Linked DNA regions of Oryctolagus cuniculus. The protein of the gene in region 1 binds, or shares a complex with, the protein of each later gene. Links are inferred from orthologs where the notes say so. Each region holds a gene or a part of one and is shown on either strand. Other genes may lie near its edges. The genes, in order: AP2B1 and LDLRAP1.

Evidence for each region.
Region 2: the proteins of AP2B1 (region 1) and LDLRAP1 are in contact, whole or in part, in a crystal structure (PDB 2G30), measured with the Homo sapiens proteins. The link is inferred for Oryctolagus cuniculus from reciprocal best matches to the Homo sapiens genes AP2B1 and LDLRAP1. Residues at the interface, in NP_001273.1 of Homo sapiens: Arg834, Gln835, Phe837, Leu838, Trp841, Glu849, Gln851, Ile876, Ala877, Arg879, Val881, Glu882, Gln884, Met886, Tyr888, Glu902, Arg904, Ser915; in NP_056442.2 of Homo sapiens: Asp253, Leu255, Asp256, Ala258, Phe259, Ser260, Leu262, Ala263, Gln264, Arg266, Thr267.

What each region holds. Positions count from the first base shown.
Region 1 is NC_091448.1:38,978,445-38,982,245, reverse strand, and holds part of AP2B1 (AP-2 complex subunit beta), read left to right. Parts: intron 1-1,742; coding exon 1,743-1,858; intron 1,859-3,801. UniProt on the Homo sapiens protein: Component of the adaptor protein complex 2 (AP-2). Adaptor protein complexes function in protein transport via transport vesicles in different membrane traffic pathways.
Region 2 is NC_091438.1:145,821,256-145,825,840, forward strand, and holds the start of LDLRAP1 (low density lipoprotein receptor adapter protein 1), read right to left. Parts: upstream 2,958-4,585; 5' UTR 2,860-2,957; coding exon 2,772-2,859; intron 1-2,771. UniProt on the Homo sapiens protein: Adapter protein (clathrin-associated sorting protein (CLASP)) required for efficient endocytosis of the LDL receptor (LDLR) in polarized cells such as hepatocytes and lymphocytes, but not in non-polarized cells (fibroblasts).

The DNA.
Region 1 (3,801 bases):
GGCTGATTTGAAACCAGGAGCCAGGAGCTTCTTCCTAGTCAGTCTCTGTTCAGGGGCCCAAGGATTTGGTCCATCCTCCACTGCTTTCCAGGACACATAGACAGTGGAGACTTGAATTGGTGCTCATATAGGATGCTGGCACTTCGGATAGCAGCTTAACGCATTGTACCACTATGCCGACTCCTGTAAGGTCCTTTTAAAAAGCCATTGTCAGGGCCAGCTCTGTGGTGTAGCTGGTAAAGCCGCCACCTGCGTTGCTGGCATCCCATATGGGTGCCAGTTCATGTCCCAGCTGCTCCACTTCTGATCCAGCTCCCTGCTGATGGCTTGGGAAAGCAGTAGAAGATGGCCAAAGTGCACCCATGTGGGAGACCCACTAGAAGCTCCTGGCTTCGGATCAGCTCAGCTCTAGCTGTTGCAGCTCTTTGGGGAGTGAACTAGCGGATAGAAGATCTCTGTCTCTCCCTCTGTCTGTAGCTCTACCTCTCAAATGAATAAACAAATAAATCTTAAAAAAAAAAAAAGCCATTATCATGATACCATTACCATATACAAAACTAATAATAATTCTTATATATTCCTTGTGTGTTCCTTTGTTCTTTTGGTTAGAATACCTCTTGGATGATGCTGTGTATTTCCTATGGCATCTTATCAGGAGATATATAATGAAGTGATCCATAATAGTACATTTTAATATATGACAGATCAGTTCTTGATTTTCAAGCTTATTCTTCTAGAATCATATCTTTCTCTATCTCTTTTAAATATTTGTTTGAAAGGCAGAGTTACAGAGAGAGAAAGATAACCTGCTGGTTCACTTTCCAAATGGCCACAATGTCTGGGGCTGGGCCAGGCCAAAGCCAGGAGCTGGGAACTCCATCCTGGTTTCCCATGTAGGTGCAGGGCCCAAAATCTTGGGCCGTCCTCTGCTGCTTTCTCAAGCACATTAACAGGGAGCTGGATTGGAAGTGGAGCAGCCAGGACTTGAAGCAGCACCCATATGGGATACTGGCCCTGGAGGCAGTGGATTAACCCCTTGTGCCACAATGCTGGTCCCTAGAATCATCTTGCTTTGGAAAATTGAAACTTACCATGTCAATACATTTTTTGTTACTTACTTTCTTCCATATTTTCTTAATTGATAAAAGATTAAATTCCATGTATAACTTACGTAACTCAAAAAATGGTAAATTGTTTAGTAGTTCTTAGAGTCTTTTTATATTTAATTAATTAATTTGAAAGAACTTATAAAGAGATTTAGATTATGGGTAGCTATGAAAAACAGAATGAGAGAGGTGGGTCTTCTCCTTAAAGAATATGCTTATATGCTTATACACAATCTGGCAAATTTGTTTCAAGAAATGTAAAGACACTCTCTGCTGTCTCCATTCATCCATGAACTCCAGTTAAAGATGTTCTGCTTGGTTTAATTTTGAATTTTTATTCTTGCCTCATCTTGGCTTATTCTTTGTTATCATTTCTGTTCTCCTGGCTGTCCAAGAGATTTTTTTTCCCCAAGAGATTTGAATCGACTAATCTCTCAATATATTTTGTAATGAGCAAGATTTGAGGTATTTAGAACTGCTGTTGATTTACATAAGATAACCCAGCATCAAATTAAGGTCATGATTGTTTTCTTTAGTTGATACAAGTGTATGTTTCAAACTTATTTTTTTCTTCATGTTGAAATAGTATCACTAGATAGATTATCTGACTTCTCATTTTTTATGTTCCTCTTCCAGCAATCAGCAGAGCGCTGTGTCAGCACGTTGCTTGATCTAATCCAGACCAAAGTAAATTATGTGGTCCAAGAGGCGATTGTTGTCATCAGGGACATCTTCCGCAAATACCCTAACAAGTACGTCCAAGTGCTGCTATCTCCTTTTCTAAAATCAGTTAGGAAATGTTTAAGTAAAGTGCTTTGTAATTGGCTGGTAAGAAGTACTCTCTTTTTTTTTTTTTTTTTTTGACAGGCAAAGTGGACAGTGAGAGAGAGAGAAACAGAGAGAAAGGTCTTCCTTTGCCGTTGGTTCACCCTCCAATGGCCGCTGCGGCCGGCGCGCTGCGGCCGGCGTACCACGCTGAACCGATGGCAAGAGCCAGGTACTTATCCTGGTCTCCCATGGGGTACAGGGCCCAAGCACTTGGGCCATCCTCCACTGCACTCCCTGGCCACAGCAGAGAGCTGGCCTGGAAAAGGGGCAACCGGGACAGAATCTGGTGCCCCAACCGGGACTAGAACCCAGTGTGCCGGCGCCGCAAGGTGGAGGATTAGCCTAGTGAGCCGCGGCGCCGGCCGAGAAGTACTCTTTTTAACTAAAGTTTGAATTTTCACTCTGCTTTATTACTTTAAAAGAAATGAAAACCTGCCTGAATATACATGATAAATTAATATATTTTATGGTTAACATAACCAGATTCTTTGTTTTTAAAAAAAAGCATTTTGTGACCGGCGCCATGGCTCACTTGACTAATCATCTGCCTGTGGCGCCGGCACCCCGGGTTCTCGTCCCGGTTGGGGCACCGGGTACTAGTCCTGGTTGCTCCTCTTCCAGTCCAGCTCTCTGCTGTGGCCCAGGAGGGCAGTGGAGGATGGCCCAGGTGCTTGGGTCCCTGCACCTGCATGGGAGACCGGGAGGAAGCACCTGGCACCTGGCTCCTGGCGCAGCACCGGCCGTGGTGGCCATTAGGGGAGTGAACCAATGGAAGGAGGACCTTTCTCTCTGTCTCTCTCACTGTCTCTAACTCTACCTATCAAATAAAAATTTAAAAACATTTTGTTTGTACTGTATTTTTATATTATTTTTTAGTTTTTTAAAAATTTATTTGAAAGGCAGAGAGAGATCCCCCATCCGCTAGTTCACTCACAAATGCCCAGAACAGCTAGGGTTGGACCAGCCCAGAAGCCTGGATCTCAATCCAGGTCTCCCACATGGGTGGCAGGGACTCAATTACTTGAGCCGTCATTCACTGCCTACCAGATGCACATTAGCAGGAAGCTGGAATTGGGAGTAGAACTGGCAGTTGAACCTGCACACTCCAATATGGAATTTAGACATCCCAAATACCAGCTTAATGGCTGCACCAAATGCATAGACCCCAACCAGAATCTTTGATGGTGAAGTTGCCGTTAACGAGAATACCTAGGGGTGGCTATCGAGGCATAGCTGTTAAGCTGCCCCATGGGAAGCAACATCCCATATCAGAGTGCCTGGAATTGAGTCCTGCCTCCACTACCAATTCCAGCATTCTGCCATTGTGCACCCCGGGAGGCAGCAAGTGATGGCTCAAGTACTTATGTCCCTGACACCCATGTGAGAGACCTGGATAAAGCTTCTGGCTCCTGGCTTTGACTTGGCCCAGTCTTGGCTGTTGCAGGTATTTAGAGAGTGAAACAGCAGATAGAAGATCTCTCTGTCTGTAGCTGTGCCTTTCAAATGAAGTTAATTAGTTAATTAATTAAAAATAGGCCAAATCAGTTTGCTGGGAATGCAGTCTAGGTCTCCCACATGGATGTCAGGGACTCAGCTGAACTGTCACCTGACACTTTGCAGGGTGTGCGGCAGCAGGAAGCTGGAATCTGGAGTAGAGCTGAAGCTCAAACCCAGGGCACTCTGATATGGGATGTTAGTGTCCTAGGTTAGATGATGAAAGCAAGCAATTGAAGAATCTGAAACAGTGAAATAACAATGAAATCTCATTTTGCTTTTACAGTAATAGAGATAGCTTTGCTGAAGCTCCTGATTAGTCTTAAAGATAATGTAGTAAGTTGGCTTGGTGGTATGCTCAAGAATTAGTGGA
Region 2 (4,585 bases), on another chromosome or scaffold:
GCAAGGCGGAGGATTAGCCTAGTGAGCCGCGGCGCCAGCCTCCCATGTCCTCTTTAAAGATTTACTTATTTATTTGAATGGCAGAGTGACAGAGAGAGAGAGAGAGAGAGAGAGAGAGAGAGAGAGATCAATCTTCCATCTGCTGGTTCACTCCACAGAAGGCCACAACAGCAGGGGCTGGTCCAGGTCGAAGCCAAGAACTCAGTGGGTCTCCCATGTGCACGGCAGGGGCTTGGGCCTCACCCACTCCTTTCCCAGGTGCACAGCAGGGAGCTGGATTGGGAGCAGAGCGGCCGGGACTTGAACGAGGTGCTCCGAAGCGGGATGCTGGCATCACAAGCAGCGAAGTGACCTCCTGCACCACAGTGGCGGCCCCTGAACCCCATTTTTCACCCCTTCTCTTTGAGTTCTCTGACAGGTTGGCACATCCCCCAAAGGGGTCTGAGGGTCAGAGTGACCCCGGAACCTTTGGAAAGAAAGGTACTAAGGGACCAAGGTGAGCCACCCTTCTGGGCACTGGGAAGAAAGGAGAATCCTTGGATAGGGAGTGAGGTGAAACATTTACGGTTCCCCGAGAGATGGGAAAAAGCCCTTGTGGGAGAGGGAGCCAGGAGGCCTCGGGCCCAGGGTGGAAGCCTGGGGCGCTGGCTTTGCTGTGTGACCTCAGGCGAGCTGCAGCCACCTCTGGGCTTCTTCCTCCACCAGGAGGAATTAAACAATATTCGCGCTAATCCTAGGTGAGAACCTTGAGGGTGAGGAGCAGGTCACAGGTGGCGGCAGGAGTCAAGTCTACCCCAAACTCAAACCCGAGGCCATAGCCAAGACCTGGCTGGTTCACAGCCCGGAGCAAGGCTGCGCCCGCACCCCAGCACAGGTGCCCCCTCGGCTTCCCTCTGGCAGTCGTGGCCACCGCTGTCTTCAGGGGCTGCCTTCTGCTGCTGCCAGGGCGACAGTCCCCCGGGGCACCGCTGAGACCCCTGCCTCAGCTCCGCCTCTGGGAAGCTCACTTTACTGGGCCTCGTTCCGCTGTCTCTGAATCCCCTGCTCGGGTCCCTCCACAGGAGCATGTGAAATCACGCAAACAAAAACACTGGTCAGACAGCGACAGAGGCCGTGGTCACCGGTCACCGTGGTGACCACTGGCTGAGCTCTTCCTCCATGCGCCAAAGGCCATCTCACTCAACCTGGCACGGTGGGCAGGAAGCAGGCACCACCTCCCTTCCAGTCTGCAGGTGAGGGAAACGAGACGTAAGAAGGGCAGCTGGGACTCTGGCCCTGGGCTCACAGGGGCCTGGGGGAGGGAGACCCACTCTGCTCGTCTTTTCCCTGGAGGTGCAGCCCGGCTGTGGCCTGCCCCAGCACAGCTCCCACCATGTGAGGGTCCACACCGCCCCAGGAGGGAGTGGGAGAGTCCACACAGCAGCCAGGAGAGCTGGGATTATCCGGGCTCTGCTTCCCAGCCCCGCCAGCCCGGGAGCTGTGTCCACTTTGCAGATGAGGAAGGCAGGGGTCAGAGAGGGCAGGGACTTGCTCAAGGGTTGGACAGGCAACAGAAACCCTCCCAGCACCCCATGGCTGCCTCTTCCCCTTCCCCAGAGTGAAGGCACTCCTGGGCCTCCCTCCCGGGGGCTGTGGCACCCACCATCTCCCCTACACCCCTGGACGTCCCGGCGGGGTTCTGCCACCCTGCAACAGCCGGGCATTCCCAGCAGTCCTGGTCAAATCCCACGCATTTTTTTTAAAAGGGCTATTTTGGGAGTAAGTGTGGGAGATGGCACATCCCTGGCCTGCGGCCCCAGCGGGTCGGTGACCCCACCCTCCGCAGCAGGCACCAGCCGCTCCCAAGGCCAGTCTGGGCTAGGAGGCCGGCGCAGCTGCCACCGCAGAGGGGGCAAGAGGCGGGCAGGGCGGGCTCCCAGGCCCAGACACGCTGGCGCGCCCGGGACCAGCGAGGGCGGAGCCCCCGGAGGCCCCGCGGGAATGGAGGGCAGGGCGCACACAGCCCCGGAGCTGCTTCCAGGTGGGGTGAGGGCGGCGGCCCCAGGTGGGCGGCACCGCCAGGAGTGCGGGGCTCGGCTGCACCCCAGCCACAAGGGCCCGTGCGACTGACCCCGCGAAGGAGAAGCGGCCTGGGCTCGGTTTCCCGGGCCGCCGCGGAAGGCGCCAGGTGATGAGTTTCCCGAGCGGAACCTGAGACGGGGCCAGGTGAGGCTCCTCCCAGCCGCGCGGGGAGAAGGGGCGCCCGGGGACCTGGGAGGAGGGGAGGTGCGAGGGCAGGCCGCCGCGGGTCTCGCCACCGGGACCCTCCCGCTGCCAACAGGTGGGTACCTGCCACCTCCTCAGGCTCACACCTGGGCGGCCGGGAGGCGGGGCCGGCGGCGTTCGAGGGGGCGACACCTTCCCCAGCCCGGGCACCGCCGCCGAGCTCCCGCCGCCACCTGGCTGCCCCGAGCGGCGAGGTGGGGAGGTGCGCGCGCGGGGTGGGGGGGTCGCACAGCTCTGTCCTCCGGACTTGCAAGACCACCCCTCGCTGCACCTAGGGACCCCGCCCTCGGCCCCCTCCCCAATCCTGCCCCCACCCCGGCTGCACAGGTAGGGAGCGGCGTGACCCGGGCGACCCCCGAGCCCTGCACGCCGGGCAAGGGCCGCTCCGGGCCGCGAGCGCGGGTCAGGCCCCGCCTCTGCCCCGACTTGGCCGAACTCCGGGCTCCCGCGGGAGGCCAGCGCCTCGGCCCGGCCCGGCCCGGCCCGGCCAGCGCGCACACACTCACTGCGATGCCGGCCGCCGCCCCCCCAGCTCTGCTTGGCCAGGCTGGGGCTCCGGATCAGTGCCCGCCCCGCGGACTTGAGCGCGTCCATGGCCCGTTCCGGCCACCGCCGCCGCCGCCGCCGCCGCCGCCGCCGCCAAAACTCCGCCAGGAAAACTTTGCGCCCGGCCAGGCGGCGGCGGGCTGCGCGCTCCTCCCCGCCCCTCCCCTCCCCTCCCGCGCCGGCTCGCGGCTACGTCCGGGGGCGGGGCGAAGGCCGCAGGGCACGCCCCGGACACGCCCCCGCGCCCGCCCGCCCCGCGCGCCCCGCCCCGCCCCGCCCCTGCTCATGGTCCCGAGGACGGTGCTCCCCCAGGCTGCCCGACAAAGGCGCCGGCTCTTTCCGGGCTCCCCGCCGCCGTCCCCACCCAGTAGGGACCTGGGAATCCGAGAGACCTTGTCAAACCCTCCCCCTCCCCGCCACACACGCACCTCTGGTTCCTAGAGAGCCAGGCCATTGTAGAGATGGGAAGATTGAGGGTCACAGCAGTGGAGGGGGTAGGAGGGGCCGCAGGAGTGCAGGCCGAACCTTGCAGGACACTGGGCAGCAGTAGAAATAAAAGCCTGCCCTTGGTGAGACCAGCTCTGCACTTGAGCTGACCGCCCAGCGCCACGGCTCCCTGGCCCCTCCTGGTAGCCTCGGGGACCGGGCAGCCTCTGGCGCTGCCCACTGAGGTGTTTGGGAGGAGACCGTGGCCCTTGACCCTGAGTTGCTGATGCTTCCCCCCGCCTGGGTCTTGTTCTTTAAGTATTTGAAATTTAAATATTTATTTTAAGGGAAGAGAGACTAAGAGGCAGAGATCTTCTATCCGATGGTTCACTCCTGAAGTGGCCACAGCTGCCAGGACTGGGCCAGGTCAAAGCCAGGCCAAAACCCGGAACTTCATCTGGTTCTCCCACGTGGGACCCTTCAGAAAATGCCCACCCGGGTCCAGCTGTGATGTGGCCGGAGCTGTGGTATAGGGAGTAAAGCCTCCGCCTGGTGCCGACATCCCGTGTGGGCAACTGGCTCGAGTCCCAGCTGCTCCACCTCTGATCTAGCTCCCTGCTATGGCCTGGGAAAAGCAGTGGAAGATGGGCCAAGTGCTTGAGCCCCTGCACCCTCGTGGGAGACCTGGAAGAAGCTCCAGGCTCCTGGCTTTGGATCGGCCCAGCTCCGGCTGTTGCAGCCATTTGGGGAGTGAACCAGCAGACAGAAGAGTGATCTTTCTTTCTCTATCTTTCTCTCTAACTCTGCCTTTCAAATAAATAATTAAAAACCAGAATCCAGCTGTGATCTCTCTGGGACCCTAATGCCCTTCTAGGAGGCTCCTCCCGCACAGTCTGGGCTCTGGGGTTCTTCACGCACCTGCAGAGTCTAGGCCTTCCCATCATGCTGAGCCCGAGGGAAGCAAAGAGCCAGCCCACGTGTGCGTCCTTCCAAAAGTTCACGGAAAATGGGATTAGCAGCGAAGTTTATTTTGATGCCAAACATTGAGAAATCCCCGCAGAGAGGAGTCTGCGGTAAGTTTGCAGGGGGTGCGTGTTAAGACAGAAACTATGCATGGGTTCCGAAATGTTTTTGCACCAACATAAACTTGCCTTTTAGTTCCATTTTTCCATGAAGCTGATGTACCCAAGCCAGAGCCTGGTTTATTCCAGGTGGCAGAGCCTCAGCAGGGCCAGCTTCTGCCCGTGTGACGAGGCTGGACATAGAGGCCTGCGGGCCTGCCTCTGCAGGGAGGGGGCGGGGCTGGCCTCCCTGTAGGGCTCCCTCTCTTCTCTGTGTAGCTGAAGCA